2 linked regions of the Sus scrofa genome follow. The protein of the gene in region 1 interacts with the protein of each later gene in a biochemical or structural test. Links are inferred from orthologs where the notes say so. Each region holds a gene or a part of one and is shown in the gene's direction. Other genes may lie near its edges.

What was found.
Region 2: the proteins of DAB1 (region 1) and LRP8 form a complex in vitro, tested with the Homo sapiens proteins (2 studies listed by BioGRID). The link is inferred for Sus scrofa from reciprocal best matches to the Homo sapiens genes DAB1 and LRP8.

What each region holds. Positions count from the first base shown.
Region 1 is NC_010448.4:155,083,244-155,087,444, forward strand, and holds the start of DAB1 (disabled homolog 1), read left to right. Parts: upstream 1-1,331; coding exon 1,332-1,398; intron 1,399-4,201. UniProt on the Homo sapiens protein: Signaling adapter of the reelin-mediated signaling pathway, which regulates the migration and differentiation of postmitotic neurons during brain development.
Region 2 is NC_010448.4:158,978,655-158,982,962, forward strand, and holds the end of LRP8 (low-density lipoprotein receptor-related protein 8 precursor), read left to right. Parts: intron 1-819; coding exon 820-996; coding exon of another isoform or gene 997-1,209; exon of another isoform or gene 1,210-2,745; intron 2,746-3,688; coding exon 3,689-3,727; downstream 3,728-4,308. UniProt on the Homo sapiens protein: Cell surface receptor for Reelin (RELN) and apolipoprotein E (apoE)-containing ligands. LRP8 participates in transmitting the extracellular Reelin signal to intracellular signaling processes, by binding to DAB1 on its cytoplasmic tail.

The sequences.
Region 1 (4,201 bases):
ATGCAACCTACAATGCAGCTCACAGCGATGCTGGATTCTTAACCTAGCCACTGAGTGAGGCCAGGGATTGAACTTGCATCCTTATGGGTACTAGTTGAGTTTGTTACCACTGAGCCACAACGGGAACTCCCTTACTCCAGCTTTAAGTGGCTCTCGTATTAGACTTCGTAGTTAAGCTATCTTTAATGGCACGATTAAGAGGTTTTGATCATTATTCTTTTTGAGCTGAAACTGGCATCAGCCTTTTCAGATTAAACAGTTTCCTGGATCTGTGGGATGAACTAAGAATTGGCTGCACAGGTTTGAAGATCCATTTTCAGTAGCTTTATCTTAATATTCTTTAAAAATGGATAACTCCTGAAATGTTTATTTTCAGCCGGACTCTTACATGTAAACCATCAGAGAGTCCGTCCCTGGGAAAAGATCCTTGACTTGACACTGGGACTACATTCATTCAATTTAAATGAAATCAAATGAGATAATGTATGTGAAGCAGGAGCTGAGGGCATCATATATAGTCAATGTATAGTAAATACTGGCTGTAATTGAAGTGGTGGTATTATCATGATTATCTCTTCCCAGCATAGTGTCTGAACTTAATAGTACCTAGTAGTGTGCAATGCATATTTATCATAGAAGGAATGAAATGTGTGTCTGCCTGCTTCTTTTCTTTTCCTCCCCGCATTAAATGCTTGTCTGCTCTTATAGCTGGGGGAAAAGCTGACATCAAAATTGGCTTGCTGCGAAGTTTCTCAGCCCCATTTGTCACCTTACCCTCAGAGCCCAATTGTATGTCAACGCCATGTCCCCTCGGATGCCTGCCAGTGAGGGAACGACCACAGGTCACTTCGCTATGATCTGCTTTAGCTGCCAAGGCTCTGGTCAGCCTTGGCTGATGGATGGGTGCCTCGCTGTTGGAAATGTCTCCATGGGGCCTCTCAGGAAATATGCCCGTGCTGTATTTTCTGGGTGGCATCTAGCACTTGACAGTAAGAAACATGGAACATCAAGAGTGGAGTTTTGCTTTTCTTGAAAATCCAGAGTTTTAAAGACCTGCTTTGTGTCACCTAGTTTGAGTTTTGCAAATAAGACCTCTCATCCTCTTTGGCAATGGACCCTCTTAATGTTTTTCCCTCCCTAATCTATACCTTTAACCGAGTGGTTATTCTGAACGTTCTCTTCCCTTGATTTGCAGCGCTCGGAAGAACTGAATGAAATGTGCAGCTGTCGGTGTCATTTCTGAAGGGAGGACTCGTTTTCTTGGAGAAGAGGCCTCAATGAGCCTGGCCGAGGCCCAGGATCTGTGTGAAGTGGACTAAGGATTTAGTAGGATGTCAACTGAGACAGAACTTCAAGTAGCTGTGAAAACCAGCGCCAAGAAAGACTCCAGAAAGAAAGGTAGGGCTCAAGCTGTTCCTATCCTAATATCTACTCTTGTGTAGGAATGAGGTTTTTTGGTCCCTGGAATGGCATTTGGGGGACTATCTTTGTGATTGCTTATGTTTGTTTGTTTTAATAGCACCATTATTGGGTGTTTTTTGTATGCACAGTATCGTATTTTAAAGGTCCTTCCTAATTCTCTTGGTAAAATCCAAAGTTCTTTTCAGCATATACAAAGCCCTTCTTGACATGTCTTCTACTCATCCCCCCCCCAAGCAACATCTGTGTCTGCATTCACGCCCCATCTCCATCTAACCCTGTTCACCCGCCGGGCATTCTGTGCTTTGTAGTTCCTCTTTGCATATACCAGTGATTCTCAAACTCTACCTGCACCAGCATCACCTGGAAGGCTTGTTAAAACAGAGATTGCTGAGTCTCATTCCCAGAAATTTGGGTTCTCTGGGTCTGTGGTAGGGCCCAAGTTTCATCTACAACACATTCCCAGATGATGCTGATGCTGGTGGTTCAGAGTCCAGACTTTGAGAACCACTGGACTCTCAATCCGTCTGTGGCTCTCTGCTATTTCCTAGACTGACTTCTGCCTATTCTTTAGTTTTGAGCTTAGTAGGACTTCCTGGAGGGCCAGGCCTTTCCTTAACCCCAAATGGGATTAGTTTCTCTTTGTTTGTTTTGTTTCGTTAGCACTTTGTTGGTAGCTAACTTTATTAATAATGTCGTCTTTGTGTTTGTTAGCCATACTATATAGTCCTTGAGAGCTGGATCTCTTGTTGACCCTTTTAACTCCCATCAATTAGAAAGTGCTTGACACATGGGAGTTCCTCTAGTGGCTCAGTGGGTTAAGAACTGGACGCTGTCTTGTGAGGATGCATGTTTGATCCTTAGCCTTGCTCATTGGGTTAAGGATGCAGTGTAGGTTACAGATGTGGCCCGGATCTGGTGGTGCAGTGGCTGTGGTGTAGGCCAGCAGCTGCAGCTCCGATTTGACCCTTGGCAGCTTTCATATGCTGCAGGTGTGGCTATAAAATAAAAAAAATAAAATAAAAAAAAAAAAAAGGAAAGAACGTGCTTGACACAGAGGAGGCACATAGGTGTTTAGTAATGAAGACTGGCATGCATGGTGTGATAATTAAGTAATTGTATCAGTATTCGTGGGTTTTGGAGAATTTGGTCCTATGGCTTTATGACTATGTCTTTCTTTAAGTTTATCCCCTTATAACTAGAGATAAGCAACTTCTTACTCTGTGTGTGTGTGTGTGTGCACGTGCGTGTGCACATGTGTGGTGTTGTGTGTTTTCTCCCTGCAGTTTCAGCTGTTTCCCTCCCCTTCAAAAAATGTGTGGGATAGAATTAATAGAGCTCTCTTCCAGGTCATGAAATCTGTCAGTCTGGGCCTGAAAACTGGATGCCATTGGTTGCTTTGTAGAGGCTGTGATTTGTTTGAGACATTGCTGTGCGTGCCCAGTCGTGTTTCCTGATGGCATCTGTCTGACACTCCATAGGAAGAAAGGGACATAAATGTAATACATATGCAGCTCTTGGGCAGTCGGAACCCCAGAAAGGACTATAAATTTTGCTTCAGATGTTTATTTGAAACACAAATATTTTCGAAGCAGTCTATTTTATCCCTATAACCTAATGTAAACCTTGTTTTTTATGCATCATGGTCTAAGAATAATAGAAGGAAAGCAAGTGGGTGATAGACTAGGTCTTGGGAGAAATGCTACGTGGGAAAAAAATTAAAAAAAAAAAAGATTGCAGAGCCCAGTATGTACTGGAATTCAAATGCATTTTCACTGGAAACTGACAAGTTATATTCTTGCTTCAAAGTTAATCTTTCCACTAAACTTGTGCTCTTGAATGCTTAATGCATCGAAAATTGTACTTAGTGCATATCTTTTCCTTCTTAAATTTAGCATGCAAAACCAGAAACATTTTAAATAGAGGATTCAGGTTTTCGGAACATTGACTTGGTTGAGGATTTGGAATGGGGCTATGAAGGTGACCTTTTAAACTCTTCCTCATCTCCACATTCTTAGTAGCTCTAATATCAGCACAATATCTATGTAAGGAGTGTCCTCAAATGAGTGGGTAATACCATGGAGTCTAGACAGCCAGACCTGGGTTCAAATTCTGTCTATGTCACTTCCTAAGTATGGTGACCTTAGAATTTTACTTCACCACTCTGAGCTTGTTTCCTTTCCTATAAAATGAGGAAATGATATTATAAAGTTCAAAGGCTCACTCGGATGATTAATTGAAAAAAGGCAAATACAACTTAGTATAGAACTTGGCATATATTAAAAACTCAACAAGGAGTTCTCGTGTGGCTCAGTGGTCAATGAACCCGACTAGGAACCATGAGGTCGGGGTTCTATCCCTGGACTCGCTCAGTGGGTTAAGGATGCAGTGTTGCTGTGAGCTGTGGTGTAGGTGGCAGACGCAGCTTGGATCCAGCATTGCTGTGGCTGTGGTGTAGGCTGGCAGCTACAGCTCCGATTTGATCCCTAGCCTGGGAACCTCCATATGCCATGGGTGTGGCCCTAAAAAGCAAAAAAAAAAAAAAAAGAAAGAAAAAAAAAAGAAAAAGAAAAAACCTCAACAAAGCTTTATCTGTGTTCCTCCTCTTCCTCTCCCCCTTTCCTTTCCCCTCCTCCTTTTCTCCTTACTTCTCATCATCTCCTATTTTGGCATCTTTCTCCATCTTTCCCTCCTCTCCTTTCTTTTTCCTATTTTTCCTCTATTTCCCTCCCTCCTCCTCCTCTTCATCAGAATCATCACATTGTTTTCTCTTACTCAAGGG
Region 2 (4,308 bases), about 3.9 Mb from region 1:
ACCTGGAGGTTCTCCCTGGAGTAGAGAAGCCACATGTCTGTCTTTGTGCTGAGTAAGTTTCCAGAACCTTTGGCCTAGAAAGGTAACTGTGGCCATTCAATTCTCATGGATCCATTTCAGTAAACACTGTATGCCAGGCATGTGCCAAGTACCACCTTAGATACCAAGCATTCAAAAGTAAAGAAGGGATGTACTTGTGCCCAAGGAGCTGGTGGGGGAGTTCGAGTCACTTGCTATTGCACAGCTGGGTGCTAAGTGCCCTGGTGGAAGCTCAGGAGGCCCTACTTCTAGAAAGCTGGTGCTGGCTTCTTTGTTCTGCCCCCACCTCTCTGTGTCACAGCACCTGTCACACTGTAGGCCACTTGTCTTTTTATTCATTGGTCTCCCCACTAGACCGTGAGCTCCTTGAGGGCAGGACTGTCTGACTGATCTGTTTCCCTGGTGCCTGGCACCACAGAGCCAGCTCCCAGTAACTACTGGTTGAACAAAGGCTATGGACCCATCAGTAAGGGAGCTGTTAAGTCTGTTTGGGAAATCAGGCAGGAGTGCCATCCAGAGGAGGTGACAGGTGACAGACTGAAAGATTAAATGACATTGGGATTACATTAGGGCCAGCTGGAGAAAGCTAGCAGTTTCCACATGGAGGAGGAGCCAGATGGCATTTCAGAAAGAAGCGCGTGCAAAGGCTGAGAGGCACGACGGGGCAGGGCCTGTTGGGGGTGCAAGGACCACAGAGTGGCTGAAACAGATGTCATGGTTGTGCAGCAGAGTCGGGGCTGTGTGTGACCTCATAGGTCATCCAGTCCATCCCCCTGTCAGGCAATCAGCAGCTTTGATCACCCACTGTGGGCAGAGCCCTGTCTTGGGGAGACCAGAGAACTGGAAGACCCAGCCCCTGCCCTCAAGGAGCTTTTTGTCTTGCCGGGAGAACCAAGGTCACAGCCGCACCAACTCCCGAAGAACTCTCTTTCCGAGCTGCCTGTCGTCAAGTGCAAGGTAGGGCAGTGCCACTCGGAGTCCGAGGGGCTGATGAGTGAGGGCGTGAACCAGGCAGCTGCAGCCCATCCTAGAAGGCTTTCTGCTTCTGGAAGGCTGCAGATTGTGAGCCGGGTGTCGGGGCAAAGAGGAAGGATGGGTTCGTTGCTGCCCGAGGAGATGGCATGTGGAAGAATCAACGGAGGATGGGGCAGGGCAGACCGCTGCCGCTGATGCTCACTGCTGGTCAAGGGGAGACGTGGGGAATGAGGTTGGGTGAGTGAGCAGGGTTAGCCGTCGGCCTTGAGGCTCCTGACCCTCGGCCCACCAAGCAAACCGGCGGAGCCCATTTTTTCCAGATCCGAGAGGGCAGTGGAAGGCATGTCGAGCTTGGAATAAGGAGAGGACTCCTGGGTTCACTCTTCCACAGCCCTGTGATCTAGTCCCTTCTCTCTGCTCACTTTTATTTGCCAAATGGGAAAAATAACCCCCATTATTCTCTCTGCCGCCTCCATTTCTGAAGTTCAAGAGAGATGGCACACGTGAGCTATAACGCCCTCTGCACGGGTACAGTGTGATTGTTCCAGAGAAGGGAACAACACTTGTGAGGAGCCATTCCTGATAAATCCAAGGCCTGAGGAACAGACTCCGCCAGCTGCAGAGAAATAGAGCAGGAGAGGGAGGAAGCCGGTGTTTAGTAAGAACCTACTGCGTATCAGACGCTGCTCTGTGTTTTATGGACATTTTCTTGTTTAGTCTTTACAGGAACCTATACAGTTGATATGATTAGCCCCATTTTGCAGATGAGGACACTGAGACTCAGAGAAATTGAATCATGTGCCTAGGATCACAACTAGGAAGGGGTAGAAGCAGGATTCTAATTCCTGTCTGTGTGTACACAAAAGCCCATGCTCTTTCCGCTGTATCTGGGGGTATACAGCCTTGAAGCTTTGGAGGTCAGTATTCTCAACAAGCTCTTCTGTCCCCTCTCCCCTTCTCAGGTAGCTCCACCGTCACTGCTGGGACCTGCCTTTGGCCTAGAGATCTGTCCTGGGGAGAGTGGGAGGGTAACTAAACTCTTAAGAAGGTAGTCTCAAGTGTCTGTGCTAGTGGAGCAAGGCCATGACACTGATGCGAAATCCCGAATCCAAAGATGATTTGAAAGGCAGTGGGGTTACTTTTGATTATTTGCAGAATGACCAGCGATGGAAGGTGCTAGTCTGGTTCTATTTTATGCCAGTTAGGTTGATGTAGAATACTCTGGACCCCATATGTGGGAGGTGTCATATTAAGCTCTCTACATACCTGATCTCATTTGACTTCCCAACAACCCCATGAGGTAGGTCCTGTTATTATTCCCATTGAACAGATGATGAAACCGAGGCTCAGAGAGGTGAAGTGCTTAGCCCAGATTCATGTAGCTATGAGAAAGATCTGGAAACAGTGGGGTCCCTCCAAAGGGGGGTATCCAGGAAATGGAGGAGCAGGATTGCATTAGGACCAGCTGGAGAAAGCTAGATGTGTTAACCTGGAGAAGAAAATACTCAGAAGCAAGGGAAGGAAACTCAAACACTAAAAAATTCAAAGTTGTCTGTGTAGAACTCTCTGAATCTAAGACGTGGAATCAGGGAACATCAGAAGATATAAAGTGGGAGTTCCCTGGTGGCTCAGTGGGTTAAGGACCTGGCATTGTCACTGCTGTGGCTTTGGTTACTGCAGTGGCACTGGTTTGATCTCTGGCCTGGGAAATTCTGTATGCCATAAATACACCCCCCCAAAAAAAAAGCTATAAAGAACATTTCATGTCAATATAGGAAAGAATTTTTTTTTGTCTTTTGTCTTCTTAGGGCCGCACCCGTGGCATATGGAGGTTCCCAGGCGAGGCATCGAAAAGGAGCTGTAGCTGCCATCCTACACCACAGTCACAGCAACACCAGATCCGAGCTGGGTCTGCGACCTGCACCACAGCTCAGGGCAATGCTGGATCCTTAATCTGTCGAGCAAGGCCAGGGATCGAACCCGCAACCTCATGGTTCCTAGTCGAATTCGTTTCCACTACGCCACAATGGGAACTCCGATATATAGGAAAGACCTTAAGTCCACTGTCCAAACAAATAGACTGGCTCAGGGGTTGTGGGATCACCATCTAGTGGTGAGCCATTTGTGGCAGAGGGAAGTCTAGTAGCTACAGTCTGGAAAGTAGGGGGCGAAGGAAAGCGGGGTGGAACTTCATTGACCTCCATTGCCTTCCAATTCTGCATAATGAGTTGGGAGGGGGTCCAGCCGATGACTTTCCTGATTGTGATTCGCGTGCTGGAGACAGGTAGCTATGGCCTGGGATTCCACATTCGCCAAAGTTAACCCACTGAAGTTGAGCAAACCTACAATCCTGAAAGGGAGGATGAAGGAAGATGCGATCTCTGCAGCCGTCCTCTTTATATAGAGGCAGACAGAACAAGATGATGAAAAAAGCTGCAGCTCTGGATTCACGCAAATCTGGGTTCAAACCAAGTTCACCCGCTTGCGGTGTGATCCAGGACAAATGCTGTTGAAGCTTCTTGAGTCTCAGCTTTCTCATCTGTGAAATAAATGTGACAAACCTGTCCTTTGAGGTAAAGAGGATGTGAGCTAATGCCTGTAAAGCAGTAGAATCTCTGGTACCTTCTGAGAACGCCATAGTCTAATGATGACTTCTTTGCTCTGTCTCCCCCAGCGAGTGGCATTAAGCCTTGAAGATGATGGACTGCCCTGAGGATGGGACCACTCCCTTCGTGCCTCCCGGAAATCAGTCCCATGCACTACCCTCGGGACGGTGTATGCCTGGATGGAAGGGTCCCTGTACATGAGTCTGTGTGTGTGTGTGTGTGTGTGTGTGTGTGTGTGTGTGTGTGTGTGTGATTTTTTTTTTAAATTTATGTTGCGGAAAGGTAACCACAAAGTTATGATGAACTGCAAACATCCAAAGGATGTGAGAGTTTTTATATGTATAATGTTTTATACACTTTTTAACTGGTTGCACTACCCATGAGGAATTCATGGAATAGCTACTGCTGAGGAACTAACATGATGACATAACCAAATGGGACCGATGGTACAGTAGCTCACTCATTTAAAAATTATATTGACAGAGGGTATTTGGTTTGGGGGGGGCGCTTTTTAGGTTTCGGAGTTTTGGTTTTTTGTAAATAGAATGATTATGCTTTGTGGCTATCCATCAAAAAAAAAAGAAAGAAAAAAGAAAAAACATTTCAACTCCCTCTCCCATTTAGATTATTTATTAACATCTTTCAAAAATAAGATTAGTTCTGTAAGTAATTTAGAGACATGAGAGTA